Coturnix japonica: one gene and its partners. The protein of the gene in region 2 interacts with the protein of the main gene of each other region in a biochemical or structural test. Links are inferred from orthologs where the notes say so. Each region holds a gene or a part of one and is shown on either strand. Other genes may lie near its edges.

Evidence for each region.
Region 1: the proteins of ATR (region 2) and ATRIP form a complex in vitro, tested with the Homo sapiens proteins (4 studies listed by BioGRID and IntAct, with this or other methods). The link is inferred for Coturnix japonica from reciprocal best matches to the Homo sapiens genes ATR and ATRIP.
Region 3: the proteins of ATR (region 2) and RPA1 form a complex in vitro, tested with the Homo sapiens proteins (2 studies listed by BioGRID, with this or other methods). The link is inferred for Coturnix japonica from reciprocal best matches to the Homo sapiens genes ATR and RPA1.
Region 4: of the proteins of ATR (region 2) and ABL1, one has a biochemical effect on the other in vitro, tested with the Homo sapiens proteins (2 studies listed by BioGRID, with this or other methods). The link is inferred for Coturnix japonica from reciprocal best matches to the Homo sapiens genes ATR and ABL1.
Region 5: of the proteins of ATR (region 2) and CHEK2, one has a biochemical effect on the other in vitro, tested with the Homo sapiens proteins (2 studies listed by BioGRID). The link is inferred for Coturnix japonica from reciprocal best matches to the Homo sapiens genes ATR and CHEK2.

The regions. Positions count from the first base shown.
Region 1 is NC_029527.1:2,068,017-2,072,786, forward strand, and holds the start of ATRIP (ATR-interacting protein), read right to left. Parts: upstream 3,102-4,770; 5' UTR 2,699-3,101; coding exon 2,093-2,698; intron 1,370-2,092; coding exon 1,199-1,369; intron 1,060-1,198; coding exon 944-1,059; intron 612-943; coding exon 448-611; intron 1-447. Other genes in the region: protein BTG1-like, read left to right, coding at 3,209-3,326, 3,418-3,767. UniProt on the Homo sapiens protein: Required for checkpoint signaling after DNA damage. Required for ATR expression, possibly by stabilizing the protein.
Region 2 is NC_029524.1:8,871,937-8,876,137, forward strand, and holds part of ATR (serine/threonine-protein kinase ATR), read right to left. Parts: intron 3,841-4,201; coding exon 3,673-3,840; intron 2,876-3,672; coding exon 2,681-2,875; intron 2,346-2,680; coding exon 2,160-2,345; intron 1,737-2,159; coding exon 1,644-1,736; intron 148-1,643; coding exon 17-147; intron 1-16. UniProt on the Homo sapiens protein: Serine/threonine protein kinase which activates checkpoint signaling upon genotoxic stresses such as ionizing radiation (IR), ultraviolet light (UV), or DNA replication stalling, thereby acting as a DNA damage sensor.
Region 3 is NC_029534.1:4,234,163-4,237,335, reverse strand, and holds the end of RPA1 (replication protein A 70 kDa DNA-binding subunit), read right to left. Parts: intron 2,122-3,173; coding exon 2,035-2,121; intron 1,711-2,034; coding exon 1,603-1,710; 3' UTR 703-1,602; downstream 1-702. UniProt on the Homo sapiens protein: As part of the heterotrimeric replication protein A complex (RPA/RP-A), binds and stabilizes single-stranded DNA intermediates that form during DNA replication or upon DNA stress.
Region 4 is NC_029532.1:4,616,651-4,620,851, forward strand, and holds part of ABL1 (tyrosine-protein kinase ABL1), read left to right. Parts: intron 1-1,928; coding exon 1,929-2,081; intron 2,082-2,666; coding exon 2,667-2,756; intron 2,757-2,996; coding exon 2,997-3,161; intron 3,162-4,201. UniProt on the Homo sapiens protein: Non-receptor tyrosine-protein kinase that plays a role in many key processes linked to cell growth and survival such as cytoskeleton remodeling in response to extracellular stimuli, cell motility and adhesion, receptor endocytosis, autophagy, DNA damage response and apoptosis.
Region 5 is NC_029530.1:6,772,178-6,777,163, forward strand, and holds the start of CHEK2 (serine/threonine-protein kinase Chk2), read right to left. Parts: upstream 3,160-4,986; 5' UTR 3,150-3,159; coding exon 2,804-3,149; intron 1,971-2,803; coding exon 1,846-1,970; intron 1,614-1,845; coding exon 1,466-1,613; intron 1,109-1,465; coding exon 1,018-1,108; intron 516-1,017; coding exon 407-515; intron 1-406. Other genes in the region: iron-sulfur cluster co-chaperone protein HscB, read left to right, coding at 3,198-3,424, 3,494-3,590, 3,835-3,924, 4,041-4,185, 4,544-4,591, 4,701-4,792. UniProt on the Homo sapiens protein: Serine/threonine-protein kinase which is required for checkpoint-mediated cell cycle arrest, activation of DNA repair and apoptosis in response to the presence of DNA double-strand breaks.

The DNA of each region.
Region 1 (4,770 bases), on a different chromosome or scaffold from region 2:
CTCGTTTAACATGGCTGAACATGCACCATTTAAAATAAAATACCAAAAACAGAGAACGGTTATCAAAACCCAAACCTCAGGAGTATAAAAAACGCATTAGCTGACTGGTAGACCTATTCAAGAAATAAGCAAATTATTTCCTGTTCCTTCTTGAGTGAGAAACACAGAGAACAGTTCGGATCCTGCAGCTCATATAAATGAAAGTTTCTCACCAAAGCCAGCAGACACCTCCACCCTGCTCCCCTGGCATTCAGCTCACTGCAAAGCCATCCTCCTGCAAACCTGAGGTGGAGCTGTATGGAATGTAAGCAATGTCATACCGAAAGAACCACCCTTGTTCCTGCCCTGACCTTACTGGAACTGCTGGGTCACACTGGGCCAAAACCTGAATCTAAGGCAGAATGTTCACAAGCAGCTAAAAATACTGCAAGTTGTGTTCATGTTTACCTTCCTTGCTGGAAACTGTCTGTGCAAACCAGTTTCCTGAAGAAGAAGAAGAGGGTCTGGCAGCAGTTTCAGCATTGAAAGACTCTTTTGTAGGAAAAGACCTTTTTCCAGGCTGCGGAGGACACCCTTCTGATTTCATCTGGATTGCAACGTTCTTTTTAGGGCTACAAAAAATAAACGAAAACAACAAGATACCAACAAATTCCCCTCCAGCTCCAATGAACCAATGTCTGTTTTGGGAGCATTTTATTAAAGATCTATTTCTATTTTATTACAGATCTATTTAATAGCTTTCTTGGTACTGATGTTAAAGAGGTACTTCACTCTACATCCCCTGCATTTCTGTCCCAGCATCTGTTTAGGTCAAAAGAATGGTTTTGGTTGTATTTTCTCAAGGAAATGGACCTAAGAGTCACACAGAGACAGGAAACATCTGTCCTAATTCAAGTGTGAACAAAAAGAAACACAGGTTATTTCCCCAAACCCCCATACACACCTTTGTGGCACAACCGTCTGAGTGACGTGCTTATTTCTTTCACAGTTCTGAAGTCGCGTTCTTAATTCATTCATTTCTGCATCTTTGAACTGCAACTCTGACTGCAGTGACAGTAACTGGAAGAATTAAGGAGATGGTTTTACTGTTACAGAATAGGCAAGTGTTAATCCAACTGCAAAGCAAATGTCTGTAAGATCTCAAGGTTGCAGGCTTCTTTCTGTGTGTTGTGTTGAGGTGACTGACTGAGCTACAAACCTTTTTGGAGAACTCTCTTTCTTTTTCACCAAGGGCCTGAGATTGCTGCTGTTCCAACAGCACGTACGACCTCTTCTGCTCCTCCATCTCACGCTCCATCTGCTGCATCCAGTCACGCAGAACTTTGATTTCTCCATTTTTAGTAAGAATTTCATCCTGCATTTCTTTCAGCTGCAAAGAGATGAATTCCATTAAGCAGCACATTCAGCATTTAGTATCTGTATTGCTCTCTATGTGGTCAAAGATGGAGTGTGTTGCTACAGCTCAGTTTAGATATCCCACAGTCTGGCTTCTATTTCTTTTCCTTATTAAATCAGGCTCCGTGACATTCTCTAATAGAATTACAGTGTTTTGGTGTCTGACGGTGGGCTTTTCTGCACTGCTTCCATCCCTTTTTTGAGGGAGATGGTTTCCAGCTACAGGAGGGGGGATTTAGAATGGACATAAAGTTATTGCAGTGATGGTGGTTAGGCACTGGCACAGGTTACCCAGAGAGGTGGTGGTGCCTCATCCCTGCAGACACCCAGCGGGCTGTGAGCACCGATAGAGCTGTGATGTCCCTGCACACTGCAGAAGGTTGGAGGGCCTTAAAGTAAAGGCCTTAAAGGGCCTTTAAGGTGATGATGGTGTGGTCTAAGCGGTGCCTTTCCACAAGGCTCAGTGACCCCATCCCCTTAAATGCTCTTCTTTCAAACCATGAAGGACACAGCGCTGCTCCGGGTTTGACAGGACAGATGAAAGCCGACAGATGAGCACCCGCTGCTGGGCAATGGTGGCACCACACCCCGCAAACTCATTGTGCCGTTCCCACTCAGAGCCTTTCCCAGCGCGGATCCCGACCCTCCCGGCCCAGCACCGCGGCCGATCCCCCCTTATATTCCCATGTGCTCTGACCTTCCTCCGTGTATCGTCGTGCTGTGCCCGCAGCACCTGCAGCTGGAAGGGCGCTGTGAGCTGAGCGCTGTGCGGGGCCGGGCCCGGCGCGGTGACACCCGGACACAGCGGCTCACACAGCGCCTGGGAAGCGATGGTGTCGATCTCCTCCAGATCGTCCGCCGTGAAGTCGTCGTTGTCCCCGAAAGGATCTTCCTCCGCCCCGCTCCCCGGCGGCCCCTTGTGCCGTTTGCTGGGCGGGATCCCGTTCCGCAGCGCACTGTCCGCAGCGGGTCCCGCCGCCCGGCCCGGCCCGCACATGTCGGTACCGCTGCGCTTCCGCGGAACGAACGGCAGCTGCAACGACATGGCGGCAGCACCGCTACGCCGCGCGACGGACGGGAACCCGCGCGACGAACCGTGGCCAATCAGCGGCGAGAGCTCCTCCTGCCCGGCCAATGGCAGACCGCACCTAAGGCGGCCCCCGAGGGTCAAGCGCCGCCGCCATTGGTCGCCGCGTGACGCGCTGTGAGCAGCTCGCTGATTGGATGGGCAGGGCGGTGGGATGAGTGACGTCACACCGACGTAGTGACGCCACGCTGACGTAGTGACGTCACACCGCGCCATGCCGTGCGGCAATACTCGATATACGGAAATACTACGTCACTTGTTGCCGCTGCTCCGTGACGTTCCCCAGCTGTGAGCTCCCGTAACGCCGCACTAACATGGACGCACAGCCCTGACGGGGACAGCTCGGAGCCTGGATAGTGTTGGTGTGATTCCGGTTCCCAATAGCAGCAGCAGTCGGGCGGCCGCTCAAGGCCCCAAGCTGTCACCATGGTTACACACCCCGTCCCGTTACTCCGTGTCACCGCGCCGCTCAGCAGCAAAACAAACACGGCCCGTCTCCTGCGCCGCCCAATGGCCGCTCGCGGTGTCCCGTAAGCCCCGCCCCTCGCCCATCTCGACCAATGGGGATCCTGTTCTGCCGTCGCAGGGGGGCGCGGGGCGGGACGCGTCATTGTGACGTGTCGCTGCGCGACGCCGCCATTGGCCGGAGCGTTGTCCCGGGCGGAGCGGTGCGGTGCGGTAGCGGCGGGCCGGGCCGGAACGGCGACGAGCGGCAGCCGAGCGGCCATGAGAACCGAGATCTCGACGGCCGCGGCGTTCGTCACCCGGCTCCTGCGGGCCGCCGGCGGGATCGGTGACGAGCAGCTGCGGTGCTTCAGGGAGCGCCTGCAGGAGGCGCTGCGCGGTGAGCGGGGGGACACGGCCCGGCCCGAGCCCGCGGCGCACGGACGGGCTGTAACGCTGACACTAACGCCGCTCTTTGTTCCCTCCCGTAGAACACTACAGGCACCACTGGTTCCCCACGGCGCCCACCAAAGGCTCCGGGTATCGGTGCATTAGGATCAACCACCAGATGGACCCGCTGATCGGCAAAGCGGCGGCGACCATCGGACTGAGCCACGAGAGACTGTTCCAGCTCTTGCCCAACGAATTGACTCTTTGGGTCGACCCTTTCGAGGTGTCGTATCGGATAGGAGAGGACGGCTCCATCTGCGTCCTCTATGAGAATCCACAGCCCGGGGCCAAGGCGAGTAAACCCCTGGAGAGCAGGAACAGCTGTAAGAAGTGGAGAACTGGCCGGTCCAGCCCGTCCGAGAGTTACAACATGATGACTGTTTCTAGTTAGAAGCTGCTGTTTCTTGTACAGCTATTGTACGTATCCCAGTTGTGTGATAAACTCCATTGTAACCGAGGTCTCTCGATTGGTGTTTTTTTTAACGAGTAGTTAATGGTAGTTTCACCCTGTGGCATTCGGGTTGTATCGTACTGCCAATGCTGTGTGGCCAAGGGCTAAAGCGGGTCTTGGATCCGCGTGTTCCTCTGGACCATGTACTGTAAATGCACTGTACAGACGGCTGATTGTTTTACACATTTCTATTTTCGAGGCGATTCTGGTATTTGTAATAAAAAGCCACGTTGTAGCGACTCATGGTGGATTTGTAGTCCAGATGAACACTTTGTTTTTGAAATAAAACAACAAAACCAAACTCCATTTGCAAGCAATAACACAAAGGGGATTAACACAGAAGCCAGGAGCTGCACATCGATCTCCACTGACTTGTCTGCACAGACTTTTCTCAGGGTCATTCCAGTTTGGCTGCAGGGCACAAATCACTCAAGTATTTTTTACCTTTTTCAAGGCACGTGTTCATTTGGAGCCGCGTTTCATCACGCCCCAATGTTCTGACAGGGGTTGGGGGATTTGTCTATCTTCTTTCTAGTTGGCCGAGTAGAATAATAAAGACTTGCTCAAAGTGCTTTGGACTTTTGGTTTTCATTGTTGTCCGGTCTCTGTTTTGTGATTTTTCTCCTTTTCCTTTTGAGACGTTGCTCTCAAAGCTTCCCATGGCTCTCACTAGTCGTTACCGCACCTTTAGGAGGGTGAAGCTCTGCATATTCACCTTTATTTCAGCTCACTTAGTACCGGTAAAGCTTGCTTAGCCCTGCGCCTCAGCAAGGCTGTGTGGTTTGCTGTGTGTGCTGGGCGAAGCTGAATGGAAGCCGTAGTATTCTTTCAACACTCAATCTGCTTCAGAAGGATGTTTTAATTCCCTGACTTTGTGTTTAAAACTGTGGCTTAGACCCATGTAGGGAGCTGGAGTGAAAGGCTGCGTCATTTACCTGCCCCT
Region 2 (4,201 bases):
AACACAATCAGTTCACCTGCAACACAGTTCTGGAAAGTCATCCTTGTATCTTAGAGCTGTTCTCAGTGTAGTCATCATCTTCACTCGTACTGAACTGATGTGTTTGGGACCCATAAGCTTCATTAAAGACATAAGGCTGTTTAAGGCCTATATATAAAGAAAAAAACAAACAAAAAAAAAACAAAAACAAAAAAACAAAAAAACCAACACATTTTGGTGTATTAGATTCCCAGTAAATTACCTACAAACCACAACTTCTAATACAACCAATCTACCATGGATTAAGATATCATATACCCACTAAATATATGAGGTAATAAAACTGCACCTTCTGCCTATCCCAAGACCAAAATATATTACTTTAAAAATCCCAGTTAAAATCATACAATTTCACTTTGCAAAAAAATCATTTGTGGATTAGAGAAAAAGAGAAGGAAATGAGAACTGAAATGACAGGGCTACAATGAACAATTAACTGTTTAGACAGTTGACAGATTGATGAGGGAAGAACTGTAGACACCAGTGGAGTTTACAGTTAAAGAAATCTGTTATCTGATGATTGACTACACATCTAAAGTTTGAGAAGCTGTAAAGTAGACATTTAGAAAATATAGAGAAAACAAATTCACATTTAAAAACAAAGATAATTGACATAAAACTTATAGCAGAAGTGATAGCAAGCTTCATGGAGTAGTTTACATGTCAGTTGTCACCAAGACTGATGAGAGATCTAAGAGAAATAGTACGATGCAAGACAGAAAAAAAGTAGGAGATTCTTCAGTCACAGACACACTGTGCCTAACAAAGGCAGCAGAATGTCCAGCATGACACATCAGTTATCAGAGGAAGAAACCAGAGCTTGAGAAAAGGTCTTTGGAGATATGATTCTTGTACACTCATGGAGAAATAAAACAAACCAAACAAGAAAAAATAATAGCAGGTACAAGATAAGAAATGATGCATAATGTAAGAAATTTGGAAAGCATCAAGACAAATGGTCAATAATGACAGTAGTTTAATAAGAATACCTCAGAAGCAAAAAGCTAGAAAGGGCACACCAACCGAGGAAATACAGCAAGTCTATCAGTATCAAGGTTATGTGTTCCAGGACTGCATAACTGCCTACATAAATTACCTACACTGCCTCTGTGTGGTAGCTAAAAAGGGTCTCCCCTACAATTAGAAGCAGAGTTTAAGCTCAAAGGAGCTGTTCTACGAGAAGCAAAATGAGTCAAGCCCAATTTCCCTTGGATTTGCATCACTCTATCTTCTTTTACCAGTAATTTCAGGTTTGAACTTCAAGGTCCTCAAATCCTTGACTTCAGCTTCCTCCCATATGCCTCCACCCTCCACTGTGTTTCTTTCATGTTTGTTTTGCATGTGTAAAACACTTGAATTCCTCCTCTATAATTACCATGACTCAATTATGTACATTAGCTGACCAATAAAGAGGAAAAGAAAAGCATACTTCTGAGCTTACACAGAAGTCCAGCCCACAGTGAGATCATCGCTATTAAAAGACTCATGTGTAAACCTCATTATTTTTTGAGCCTTCCTTGACAACTACCTAAACACAAAAGCAAACCTGGAGTACCAAAGTAGTTTTACTTCTTTGTTTTAATGTTGATATTCTTTTTACGTACCATTTTTTTATCCTCAATGCCAACACTGGAACTCAATAACTGCATGTTAAAAAAGGCCAAGATACCAAGCAATTTAGGTTGCAGATAATCAGCCTGTAGAGAGGGGGAAAAAACGTGAAAAAGTAAAAACAAGTAAAATTACTGTTAACACACAGATAAATTGCTAAGTTTAAGTAAGGAAATAGCAAGTATGAAATGGTAATGCTGACAAATGGAAAGATTCCCAAGCACATACACTGTTCATTAAAAAGTAGCAGTGTTCGTGAAAGACATCCCTGCTATGCTGTGGGGTTTTTTGTTGGTTTATTTTTTTATCTGTGTTCAATGCATTCTTGTTGTGCATCTCTGTATCTCTGTATCAGAGGAACACTCAATATGCAATGACAGAATTTCCTCTTCACTTCTGTCTCAAATAGGATTTATACGTGATGCTTAGAAAACTCAAGTTGTCTCCCAGACTCAAGATTAAAAATATTTATAGTAAATAAAAACAAATGAATATTTTGATGGACTTACCATTTGCTCAGAGGATGTTATTTCCCTTGGTCCCTGATAGGGATCATCGTGAGATGCAAATGAAGCCAATATAGACAAACCATTGAATACTTGCTGATAGTGCTCTCCTATACGTAGCAATAATTCATTATGCAGTCCCTGGTAGTCTTGTCTCAACAAGCTGCCCAGTTCAATCTCAGTCTCATTCTATTATCGACAAAAACAAGTCTTACTTTCACCACAGTGAAATTAGCACACAGAGACAAGGAACAATGGACTCAGATTGATTTACCACAGGAATAAAGAGAAAGCTCCCAGTCAGGTCAACATCACATAATCCAAGAGTTTTCAAGTTCACAAAATATCTCACAAAATACTCAGAGCCAACAGAACTGACAACAAATAATAACAAAAGAACTTGATCTATTTCCCCAGCTCTGCTTTGCAATACTTTTATTTAAATAAAACAGAAAGAAGAAAGTTCACTATTCATTCATCATTGCTCTCCACCTGCATTTGTAACCAAGCAAATATTAATTTACCTTGAGGTAATGAAGTGCCCGCTCAAGCTCATCCTTAGAACAGGAACAGACCAAATGAGAGAAGATGTATTTGAAGTTGTTGATTAAAATCTCTCTTCGGTTTACATTCAGCTGTTTTGCTATGGTTCGAATAAGGATGGAGGCAGCAGGACTGGCCTTGGCTGCAAGGTCAGGCAGCAAAACTTGCAGGGTCCGCTGATAAATTAAGAACAACACTTAATAAAATAAAAATAATTTAAAAAAAAAAAAAACAGACAGCAAACTAAAAACCAGAATTAAATCATACCAAATCAATATAACCCACACATAAAACACATACAGACCAAATCACCCTCCAAAAACACCAAATCCAGGTCCTGGTCAACATATATCTACATTCCTGTGTATAGCCATAGTTATAAAAAAAAGAACTTGAGATAGAAGCATTTCATTAAAAAAAAAAAAAAAGTTGATTTTTGATTTTTTATTTTTTAAACAGAACTGCTTCATTTAACCAGTACTAAAAGATCCCAATAAGAAGTGAGATGCTTATCTGAATCTTACATGCTTCGTAGATTTGTATTTTGTTTGCTGGTAGAAGAGAAATACAAAGCAGTTATTTATTCAGATCAAGATTATTTATCCACAAAACAATTATTTCTCCATTTAAAACAGGAAAACAGGCACTACACAAATCACGCCTTAAATCATTAGTGTAGGTATACTCAATTGGTATTCTGGACTACAGACAGTTCATTAAACATCATATTTGAATTAGCTGAGCCACCACTGTATCTCTTTAATAAAACAGTTCCTCTGTACTTGAGCTCTTCCAGCAATCCAGAATCATTCTAAAAATAACAAACAGCAACTAGAAAAAAATCATCAGATCTGTAGTAAAAAAAAAAGGAATACAGACTAAAAAGAAATCCACAAGCATACAATGCCCCTCCCTCACCCTCCTCCCCCACCCCCCCAAAAAAAAAAAAAGTAAAAGGGACTAACCAACTTACTGACAAAAAGCGATTTAGATCTGGAAAGTCAAATACATTAGCAATCTCAGACAACATGTCCAGAGCCATTTCCCTTTGGTGAGCAGCTTCTTGTTTGTGCAGCTCATTACCCTGGCATGGAGCACTTAATACTGCCATCTGGCTGGAGTGCAAGGATTCCACTAGAAACTAGGCATGAAGAAATAGATAATAAATATTATTCCCCTTTTTTTCACTCCCTAAGACTTTCATTTTTTCTATGCATCTGTTTTTGTTTCTCTTGTATTGCACATAGATCTAAGATAATTATTTCATAATAGAACTGGATTAATGATGGCATTTCATTTTGCAATCACGACCTCAGATGTTGCACACACCTAAAATAGATTCCTCTTGTTCTATCTTTAATACTTTGTACTTTAAGCAGAATTTCTGCCTTTAGGAAATGCTAACCGTGGCATGATTATGCCTGTAATAAAGTTTGACTTAAATTCCTAGTTTACATTCTAGCCTCCAATGACAATGGTACCATATAATGCAAGAACATATA
Region 3 (3,173 bases), on a different chromosome or scaffold from region 2:
GAGGGAACAGATACTTGGATAAAAAATTCAAGGCATCAGCAGAAGGACCCAGCCACGATCCTCAGATTCTGAAAGAGAAGGGGTTGTTTGTGCAATTAATGGGCCCAGGATAACAACCTCCGTGTCCACCAGTAGATGTGGCATTTACAGCTCCTAAGCATCAAGACTTGAGAAGATAAATAGGAAATCAGGGCACCGCATGAACACACAAGGAAACAGTGCAAAATAAATACATGCCAGTTTTGCTACCAGAGACCCACTGCAGCACTGCCTGGATGCTCAGAGCTGTGCAGCAAATGCCAAGCTGTGAGCTGCAGCCAGGGAACACATAATTAATGTGATTAGGAGCACACAGAGCTAGCATGCTCTGCTGACTGAAAAGCCCAGTAGCATAATTACTGTTTTCTGTACTAGCTCTATGTCTGAACAAATCTCAAAGCCTGGTTAGTTTTAGACTGCTGTGTAAACGTCAATAAAAATCCCAGAAGTGCCAGCTCATCAGCATTCTCAGGCACAGAAATGGTGAAAATATCACTGCATTTCCATGCCGTTAACATCAGGCAAAGAAGTCTCTTTTCTTCAGTCTAACCTTAGAGTTAGTAATAAGGTAACATCTCCCCCAAGTGAATGCTTATTATGAAAGCTAATTAATTGCTTTCCAGTAATGAGAAGTCTTTGGTGTTCAAAGAAAGCAAAATTCACTACACAGGAATTACACAGTGTTTATTCAAACAAAGCTCCCCCCCCCATTGAAAGACCTGGTTCTGATTAACAAATAAAACCTAACAAACTGAACATACATACAGAACACATACAGGAAGGAAACGCGTGCTGAAATCAGTCAAAAACCTATAGTATTAATTGAAGTGAAAACTAAAGCAATGCTTTGTAGTTGCCTAGATTTCCCTGGGGGATGGAGAGTCAATGCTTATCTGCCTTCCTCAGAAGAGACAATTTTGATTAATATCAGACCCATCTGACTCAGTCTATTAAACCCTGAAGGAAGGATATTCTTCAGATATAAAAGATATGTCTTTGATTAATAATTCTACCATATTGCCATTCCAAGCATTAACTGCATGGCACCTGTGGAAAGAAAAAGCCTTTGAATTCTACAGAAAATAACTAACTCGTGCTAATAGACCTGCTCTCCTTCGTCCAGATCTGAAGGCTGCACGACACTCTCCCTCCCATCCTCTGCAGAACAAGTCCAAGTGCCAAGGTTGTCACTATTTTCTCGCAAAGACGACACAATGGTTATGTAATTCAGGTTTATGTATAGCAAGAAAGCAAAGTTACTTCAGATTTTCTGAATGCTTTGTCTAAAGATACTGACAATCTGTCTAGAGGATCCTCTATAGTGCTGTCACAGTTTAATAGACCACAAGAGCCTACAGCATCATGGCCATTGGGTACACTCTTAAGCTAGCAGGGGCACGTCTTCAGAGAAATGCATTAAATCACTCATCCCACTACACTGGGCTACAGTGCACGGTGTAACTAATGCCAAATTGTCATATGTAGAGCAGGGAAAAAGTCAATGTAACATCCTCTGAGTTTTTCCTGGAAGTCTGTAGCTTTGATCAAGCAGCATGAGCCTTCTCATCCTAGCTGAGCATTTCTCCTGATGCTCGCAATCAACCTCTTGCTGTATTCTCTGTAGTTTACAGGTTTGACGTCCAGTGCTGTTGCCTTAATACGAGATTCATCCTGTGAAAGGAAAGAAAAAAAAATAGCATGCAGAAAGAATACTCAGTGCCCGAGGCATTTGGTTCTAACCTCTCTGCCCTGGTAACTCACTGTTCGTGGTACCAGGATTAGCTGGGAGAGCAGACAACTCCCAGAGCAGCTACACTGCCTTTCATTTGGAACCAGCCATGCTGGAGGAACCAGAGAGGAAATGGCTTTAAAGGCAGAGGATCCTCCTCTGGTGCCCAGGATTGACAGTGGTTGCTGTAAGTCACTTGAAACTTCACCCCACAAAGACGAGAGGAGGAAGCCATCTCTTATGGCAGCGCTGCAGAGGATACTTACATTGTACGTCTCCAGTTTTACTCTGATCTTGAACTCATACGTGTTGAAATTTGCATTTTGAAAGACTTCTTCAAACGCCTGCTCGTTCTGCAAGGAGGACAAAGAACAGATACCAGCTGCACACACTCAAGCTTCTGGTAGTGCTATGACCCTTCACAACAGCTTATCTTTTGCTAGCGTTCACAAAATATAGGAACCAACTCATTCATGCACGCAGACCTGAAATTACCCCCAAATTTTACATGCCAACATCACAGCTTAAAGCTTTTGAAAGTACAGTTCAAGGTGGAAAAAACTTGTTAGAGATCTAAACAAAATAAGGCAGAATTGTAGCGAGCCTGCAGCCAAACAGAGCTAACTAATTCCCTGTTAGTTGTCTTATCAGTCGTTCAATTTCTCTGCTTATCCATTGAGGCTGTGTGTATCCTTCATATCTTGACTGACCCACTTAAACAATGATCTACAGAGGAGTGGATGCATGTTTTGAGCATCTTTTATAGCCATTAGAAGGGCATGTCACATTTACAACATAAGCTACTTCTAATTACCATATGAGCACTAAACATAATCATCATTTATTGCAGACAATTTGTCAAAACAATAGAAAAGAATCAGATGAGCTGAATACTGGAAAGTTTGTTCTTGTAAAAATGTGTTAAAATCTTTGCTGATGTTCCACAAAAACGCTGCAGCCCCATTGAGATGCAGACGTGTCATTATTCATACATTCATCCACCCAACACACTCGATCAGTGCATCCAGGAGAAGGTGGAGCATCCCCTTCACTCTCATTCCAAGTGTTAAAGCTGCTGGTTTGAATGTGCACAGTGCTATTTTGCACCACATTGTGATTCTTCTAAGGTTCAGAAAGTGCAACAAACGAAAGCAAACAGAAGTAGCAAGCTGCAGACTGCAAAATTTTGGCACATCCTTCCTGAATATTGAAAACCCTTTCCTGAGACCATCACACGGATTAGAGGATAAGGAAGGACATTTTATCAAGGATTTGGCTTCCGCTTCTACCTCTGCCACAAGCTATACCAACCATTAGTGAGTGGAAAATGCTGCTAGCATCGCAGTCACTGCTACCCCACGTTAGTTTTTAGACTAACAAGTGTGGTAGAGGAGGAGATGAAAGA
Region 4 (4,201 bases), on a different chromosome or scaffold from region 2:
GCTCTGAGCTGTGTTGTATCAGAGTGCAGGAATTAATCTCTGCCAAGTCGGTCTTGGAGTGGAGAAGTGAGGCTGCAGACCTGGCTTTACGTGTTTGAGTCATTGACAAGTATGAAAACAAAGGACACTGTGGTGTTTATAGAGTTGTATGAAATGGGGCTGGAGGGCAGCCGTGCTGCTGACTTGATGGAGCTCTGGCACAGAACTGTGAAGCAATATATTGCTTTATCGCCAGGAACTTTCAAACTACTTTAAGGAGAAAAGTGAGGATCTGGTTCATTTTATGTTAAAAAATTATGTGTGTATCTGTCTGTCTGGTGATAGCTCCGAGCTCGTCTTTCTGCATTTTAAAAGAATAATCTTTGGAATGAGATGAGCAGAAACAGAGAGAAAATTTGATGACAAATGGTTATTGAAGAGCCCTGAGGTGCTGGTGATAAGACTGGGCTTAGCTAAATGGAGCTAAATTCTATGAAATCTGACTGCAGAAAAATCTCATTCTACTTCTTTTTTTATCGGCCTTTCTTTGGGTTTTATATCTCTTCCATAGCTATTGGTCAGATCCTCAAAAGTGCCCGGTGATACACGATAGAAGTTTGCAGGACTTCATCCCAGGGGTACATTGAAAACATTACCCTGAGCATCTCCTATGTGTTTAAAAGATCAGACGGTGGTGGAGCAGCAGTGAAGTTCTCTGGAGTTTTGAGGAGACGGTGCAGAGAGAGGCTTTATTTTGAAGGAACTCTTAGAGCACGGCTGATCCAAAACGTTTTAGCGATGAGGGAGCTGAGCTAAGCTTTTCTTCTGCTCCGAGCTGCTGTGTGACACTGCTGGCCGCGCCGGGTGGCTGCGGGGAGCCCTTGTACTTCAGTAGTGGAGTGCTCTGGGAAGAAAGATCTGAAAGGGATATTGGGTATCTTTAATTAGGGTTGGTGTGACCTTGCAGAGTGACAGTCAGAGCGGTGGACTTTGGGATCTGATCAGAGCAAGCTGGCTGTCCCCAGAGGTCACGGCTGCTGCTGGCCATGCCAGGGTTTAGATGCTTTTCACCTCGCTGCCTCCAGACAGAAATCAAAGAAAATTGTGCACAGAAATGTCTAATGTAAATTGCCCTTGGTGGTGTTACCATGTAATGTGATGTGATTTCCTTACTTATGCAGAATTGTAATCGCTTTCTCTTCAGTTTAAGACCAGAATAGGGTGACTGAACCAATTACATGCAGGTTGTTGAACTGGTGTTGAGTCTATTCTGCATGGCTGACTCCTGGGTTAGCTGCCCGACCCCGGTGCTGACCTGCATCCCCGCTGAGTCTGGGGACTTGAATGCCTCTCCTGTTTAAAGAACCTCTTTGTGCTCTCCCCTTTTCTGCTCAGCTTTCCCCATGACCAAAATGTCTCATGCAGACTTGGTCTCATTGGTAGCAACTACTGAATATCTCTCACCAGCGGGACCCCCTCTTCCCTTCCAGTCTGCAGCTAAACAAGGGCACCCCAAAAAACACTGAGCTATTAAAACACGCGAGTCCTCTAGGGAGAGACTGCAGATGAGAGGAGCTGTCAAACTGGGAGAGAGACTGCAGTGCTGCAGTGAAACAGTTTCAGCTAATCCACTGTGAAGTCTCTTAATTGTGCCTTTAATAGGACTTGAAGGATCTCAAGGCGTTCAGGTTTGAGACAACTGATACATTCAAAATTAGTCTAATTCTATTCTGTCATATCGCAGGAGACTTGTCTGTGCTGACGAAGGGGCTTGTTCCACTGCTTTAACATTGAAGCTAACACTGAGCATGGAGTCTGAGCCACTCAGAGCTGGTTTAAGTGTGCAGCACTGTTTAGCGACTACTCCCACTAAATGTCTCCTCAAATTTAAGATGAAAATAAAGTTTGTTGATTTTAGTTTGTTTGTTTTATTTTTCTACCCACTGCAGCCTTTGGTGTTCTGCTATGGGAAATTGCAACCTATGGCATGTCCCCTTACCCTGGGATTGACCTGTCTCAAGTCTATGAGCTGCTGGAGAAGGACTACAGGATGGAGCGCCCTGAAGGCTGTCCTGAGAAAGTGTATGAGCTCATGAGAGCATGTAAGTGTTCTTCAGCCTTGCAAATGCCATTACTGCTTTGTAGCTCTTCAGCAATGCAATGAACGTGGCCAGATCTGGTCACATCCAGCCAGATACAAGAAACTCTCTGTTGGTTCTAGTGAAGACGCAGTGCTGTGTGGAGATGCTTGGTTAGAGCTGCTTTCCCCAGAGGATGGAAGCACTATGAAACCAGCCATTCTTCCCTGCTGGGAGCTCGTAGGCCTTGGGGAGAGATTTGCTGTTTTTTTTCTCCTTTTCCCTGACTGCTTACAGATAAACTTGTGCTGCAGGGGTGAGGCAGGAGTCTGGTAGGCTTCTTAAGGGAGTAGGTGTTGCTTTTCCTCTGTGGCCTCTTGGTACGTGACTTGTTATGTGGTATTTTTCCTTCCCGAGATGTTCCATGCCTGCCCTTACTTTGGCTCAGTGGTGGTTACAGATGCCCAGCACCATTCACACCAAGTTTCCATGCTGGTGTTTTCTTTTGGCCATTTAATAAAAAGGGTTCTGTGATAGTTGGCACCTCCTCGTGTACTGTGATGGGTGTGTAATGCTGGTAGGAAGTTCTCAGTGCCGGTGTTTTTGCAGGCTGGCAGTGGAGCCCCTCTGACAGGCCTTCCTTCGCTGAGATCCATCAGGCGTTTGAGACGATGTTTCAGGAGTCCAGCATATCAGATGGTAAGTCTGGGTCCCTTTGGGGCTGGCAGTTCCAGGGACAAGGGATGCCTGTGTCCTGAACTCTGCACGTAGCTCAACAAGGGCACGTGTCTAACTATAAATAGCCAAATGGCTGACCAGCCCTAAGGATCTCCCTCTTTGTGCTGTTTCATTTGTTTTGTGCAATTAACTCGGAGCAGTGCTCTGGTTTTTTTATATTCTATGTATTACAGTAATCTTTTTTTCTTGTGTGCATTGCAGAGGTGGAGAAGGAATTGGGAAAGAAGGGCATGAGGAGTGTAGTGAGCAATTTCCTTCAGGCCCCAGAGTTACCAACCAAGACACGAACATCGAGGAGAGCTGCTGAAAGCAAAGATGCGAATGAGAGCTTGGAGACTGCACACGCTCGAGGCCAAGGGGAATGTGGTAGGTTTTAATTAAAGTCATTATTCCTTCAGGAAATAATAGGAAAAACAAAAGGCATGCTCAGGTCTTTGCTTAGGAAAAGCCATGTCTGAAAACAGGTGCCATCTTTATGTATCAGCATTGTATTTCTGGGTGACAGGCTGCTAAGTTTGCCTTCCTGCTTTCAGAACTCCTTTCATCATTTATTACAGAAAGGCAGGCTGTTAATCTTGGGACCAGATACAAACATAGAGCATCTGGGAGTGTGAATCCATAGCTGGCTGAGCAGTTGGCGCTATACCTGCCGTTGCTTAGAGAATTCCTTGGAGTTCTTTTAACTTAATGGCAATTGCCTACAGCTCCCTATAGACAAGAGCCTGAGCACAGCTCTCTGGTCACATTCTCTTCCCATTCCCTGGTAGGAGCTATCAGAGGGATCTCCCACTACATCTGAGCACTGGGTAATCTGCGGTGTTCAAGCCTCTTTACTACCACACTGCATAATTTAGAGCAGCACGATTGCTCAGGTTTAGCAAGCCCCATAAGGGAGGTTTCTTCACTGTTCCATCACACCAGTTTTGTGCTTGGAGCACTGAAGAGTATTACTCTTGGCAGGTACCAAATATAATTGCAGCAAGGGACAAAGAGGTATTTACAGAATCTTCCATGAAATTAAACTCTATTCAGTCTGTTTCTCCAAGCATTTCTCTTCCATTCTGAGGTAATGAACGCAGTGCTGAGGCACTGAATGTATACAGTAGATTCGTATCCAGTTTGCTTGAAAAACAGCAAGATAAAAACAAAATGCAGTGTGTGATAAACACGCCCTGTCTGACCATTCCTGTGAGTGACCTTTTCTGGATGACGCCAGACTCACCTAGTGGTACATCTTTCAGTAGCAAATGTACATCTCGATAAAGAAAGGGGAAAACACACACACAAAAGGGAGTGTAAAATGCTGGAAAAGTGACGGTGACTGAAACAGGAAAGAAAGTTATTCACAGAATGTACTGATTTCTGAATTGACTTGTTTGCTAATGAAAATAACAAAGAGCCTTCTG
Region 5 (4,986 bases), on a different chromosome or scaffold from region 2:
AAAGCAGGCACATGGAAAGCCCTCCCCAGCAGGCTTTGTACCATACCAAGTCTTATGATGAACATACAACACAATTAGCTGAGCTTATAGGCCTCTGGTCAGACCACCCTGTAATGTAACTTTCTGATGTTTTTTAGGAGATGACACCCCATGAGATTTCCACACTCCCCCTTATTTGTATATAAGGCATCAGTCCTAACAGAGTTTGGTCAAAGAATAAAAGCAAGCATTTGCTACACAGTTATATACACTCTGTAATATCAAATGCCATTGAGAAATCACACACAGAAAACTTTAAGTCAGAAAACCCCCTTTAATCGGAGAGGACTGGAGAGTAAGAGATAAAGGCTGCCCGTATCTGAGAACAGCTGCAAGATGGTCAAAAGACAGAAGCAAAGGTACTTACTGCCTCTCTAACACCACTGGCCATAAACTTCCGCTTGTTGATGATCTTTACTGCAACTTTATTACAAGTGCTCTTCTCAAATGCCAGTTTGACTTCTCCACAGGCACCGCTAGCATGAAAGCACAGCTGTGTTAATGCTTACAGATACCTTCCCAACTCGGCCTAAGAAGCGTGCTGACGTGAACAGGAGGCTCTCACCTCATTAAGACTACGTGCAATCAGAGGCTGCAGCTTTCCAGCTCTCTCAATATAACAGATGGACAAAACTATCTCAGACAATATTCAATAGTATTTAAGCACCAAATGGTGTCAGACCCCAATTTCAACCAATTACAAACGTACTTAAACATTCTTGCATGTAAAGTAAATAGAAACATAGTCGTAAGATAGTTTCAAATCTTGAGCAATTAATTCAGAAATCACCACCAATTGCTTTGAAGTATCTCTGATAACCCTCCTATGATTCTGGATATTCCAAGTAATAGATAATGAGACCACGTCTCATTTGTGTTTCATCTTCATTAAAGCCCAGCACAGTGTGCTCAGGTAGCACAAGGTACCGAAAGCAGTAACAAAATGAAAGGTGCTGCTTCTGATAGAAGGATTCTTACCTTCCCAACGTCTTGGACATGATGTACTTCTCTCGGAGCTCTCTAGGAAACACCAGCTGGTCATCCACCGTGAGGTCAGAAAAGACAAACACTGGGAGATGGGTGGAGAGCATCGTCCTGTTACTTCAAAATGGTTATATAACACTTCCCAAGCTGTTAACAGTCAACAACACAACTGAGCAAATGCTGCCTGCTGGAAACAGCACGGAAATAGGAAAGCAAGAAGAAGAAACCAAAACCCCATCAGCTGATGCTGCAATGATGCTTTAGGCAGGAAATCTCATTACTGAGAAGTGAGACCTTGGGTCTGCGCCAAACACAGCGATAAACTTAGGGCTGTTCTTATTACTGCAGCCACATGGTATTCACCAAACAAGATCCAGATCACAGCACACAGAACCTCCTGGTTGACACCCAAAGAGCCCACATGCATCGCGGTGTATTTTACCCTTGTTAGTCTGAATACATAGTGCGATTTCCGAGTTATGAGTCAGCGGCAGCCTCTTCCCCTTCCCAATGAGCTCTCTGTTAATGAACGTTCCATTTGCGCTGTGGTCTTCAATGTAGGCAACGTGGGAGTTTTTTGGTCCTGTTTCCTAACAGGGAAGAAAAAGAAATCAGAAAGAGAGCAATGGCGAAGAAAAGGACGACAGCAGTGTTGGCTCAATGGAGTACTTCATAAACATGGAGAGGGAACATCACTCAGCGCCTGGTTAAAGAAGTCGGGCTGGACATGGCAAACCTTGTGTTCAATAAGATCCCAGCAAAGGTTCACCATTCTCAATTATGGCCATACACAGAAAAAGAAATAACCTTTTTAGCACCTACCCTGAATATTCGGAAGTGCTTCTTGCTGTAGTTCTGGTAAAACCCAGTTTCAGATAATCCGAGCTTAGAAAAACTGTAATCACAGCTTTTGTCTCTTCCGAACCAGTACTCGTCATTGACACAGTCTGCAGAGCATGGGAGAGAGAACACAGCATTGAGGCAGTTATTAACTACTGCCCTGCAGAACGATGCCTTACATTATAGTAAAGCATGATAACAAAGACATCAGCATTTACTTCTCCTGATTCCAATGAAACGCCATATGCTACCAATACGTCATTGAGGAAGGTGGGCAGCCCGAGCTGGGTGCAGCAGCACATGGCAGGGGTGGGGGATCCCTGAGCTCCCCTCCAACCTCAGCCATTCCATGACCCTGTAATTTCACTACATACATCAGCAATTCCATTGAATAACAGCGTCATTTCCCATTCACCTTCAGCGATATATTCACACAATGCAGAAACAAACCGAACCAAACCAAGCTACGGGGCGGACAGACACAGACAGGCAGTGGAGAAGACACGGACTCCGAGCAGAAACAGCCGGGAGCTCAGCGGGACGGCACGGAACGGAACGGCACAGAATGGAACGGGACAGAATGGAATGGCACAGAATGGAATGGGACCAGGAATGGAATGGGCACGAATGGAACAGCAAGGAATAGAACGGCACGGAATAGAACGGCACGGAATAGAACGGCACAGAATGGAACGGCACAGAATGGAACGGCACAGAATGGAACGGCACAGAATGATCCCGCGAATGAACGCACAGAATGGAAACGGCACAGAATGGAACGGCACAAAGAATGGAACGGCCAGATGGACGGCACAGAATGGATGGGACAGAATGGAACGGCACGGAATGGAACGGCAACAGAATAGAACGGCACGGTGCATCCCCGGCCCGACACAGCCAGGAGGCGCACGGACAGGCGGCGGGGCCGGCGGTGACGTACCCCAATTGCTGAAACCTTTTCCGAGCGCGAAGAGCCGACCCCAGGGCTGGGGAACGAGCTCGTCGGGTTCCGGGTCCTCGGGGATGGAGGGCAGCTCCTGCGTGGGCACCGTGTCCAGAGAGCTGAGCGTGCCGGAGCTGGACGAGGACTGGCTGGCGCCCTGCGAGGCGCTGGAGGAGGAGCTGGTTCCGCCCTGCGATGGCTGCGTGCCCTGTGAGTGCTGCACATCGCTCCTTGTCTCTCTGGACATGGCGGGAGCACCCACCGCCCGCACTGACTCCGCTCCGGCTCCACGCTCACAGCTCGCCCCGCCCGTCGCACCGCACAGCGCAGGCGCCGCGCTCATACAGCGGCCAATGGCGGCGCGGTGCCGGGAGGAGCCGTAGTGCGGGCGATGCAGGCGGCGCTGCGGGTGCAGCTGGGCCGGGCGCGGCGGGCGCTGCGTGTGTCCGAGTTGGCCCCGCGGCCGCGGTGCGTCGGACCCGGCTCCGTCCCGTCCCCGCGGTGCTGGAGCTGCGGCGTCGCGCTGTCCGGCCTCGATGCGGTCCCGCACTTCTGTCCCCGCTGCCGGGCCCTGCAGCCGCCGGAGCCTCGTCCCGACCTGTTCCGCCTGATGGAGTGGTGAGTGCCGGCGGGGCGGACTCGAGCGGAGCGGGCCGAGCTGCTCACGCCGCCTCGTGTCGCCCGCAGTGATCGCTCCTTCCGCATCGACACGCAGCGGCTGCAGCGGCGGTTCCGGAGCCTCCAGCGAGCGCTGCACCCAGACCGCTTCGGACAGAGCCCGGCGGTGAGTGACCGACCGCGAGTGACCGACCGCTGCCCTATGGGAGACGCGCTGTGTCGGCTCCGAGCTCCGGGACCGCTGAGCTCCGGGGAGTCGTACGGGACCCCCGAGGGCATCTGCTCCCACTGCCTGCAGTGCTCAGGGACACCCACAGCTCCATCAGCGCTCACAGCCCCGTCCCCTGACCATGGGTGTGTGCAGGGTCACCGCTCTGTGCGCTGCTTATTGACTCATTACTCTTTGGCAGAAGGAGCAGCACTACTCGGAGCAGCACTCTTCCCTCATCAACAAGGCCTACCAGACATTGCTGCACCCCCTGAGCCGCGGCCTCTACCTGGTGAGTGCTGGGATGGGCAGATCCACACACCCATCTTAGGGCCCCGCAGCCGCTCAGTGCTCACACTCAGAGAGCCCATATTCACGTTTCCAAATAGCTGTTTTGTTTTCCTCCAGCTGGAGCTGCGCGGTGTGGAGCCGGCGCAGGAGACGGACTGCGATGAGGATAAGGAGTTTCTCATGGAAATCATGGAAATCAATGAGAAATTAGCAGAGCCTCAGAACGACGAGATCCTCGGGGAGATAGAAACGTTAATTAAAGGTGGGCCTCGGTCTGCGGGTTTTGTACCGAGTGAATTTTACATCCCTGTATTGTCTACTGAAACGTGTGGGGTTTATATTGAGGAAGAACCCTGGGTGCAGTGCTGGAGATCAAAGCAAGTTGAGCTGCTGGGAAGTGAGCAGCCACTGGTGTGTGTGTGTGTGTGTGTGTATATATATAGGTACTGCTGGCTGTAGAGCTGTGTCAATAAAGAAACACTGCTGGAAGGATAAGGAAAAAGGCTGGCAGTGCTAACACAAGGAGCTCTTATCTTCCAAAAGACCACACCACAGACTGAGCACGGCTGTATTAGATACAAATATGAAGCAAAAGCTGAATAAGATAATTTGTTTTACAGACAGACAAGAAGAACTGACCAAAGAGGTGACTGCAGCTTTTGAAAGAGGTAATTGTTTTATTAAATAGCTGCTGGCAAGGAAACCTTCAGATTCACCTTGAAAATGACAGTTGTGCCCTCCTCTTAAATAATCCTCTTTGTTTTAATTTCTTTGTAGATGACCTTCAGGAAGCTAAGAAGCTTCTTGCCAAAATGAAGTACTTTGCAAACCTGGAGGACAAACTAAAGAACAAGAAGATCCCTTCCTGATAGCATCTCATTTACTATTAAGAATTAATGTAACTTTTATTAAACTGTTGACTTGCACCAAACACAGACAAGTGGTGTTTGCCTCTTACACCTCTGGTACAAGCTTTAACTCTCAGAGAAGGAAAACAAAGCAGCCAGGAAAAGCTGCATCACGTGCCTGAGGTTACCATCCTCATGGAGTTCTGGGTGTGGAA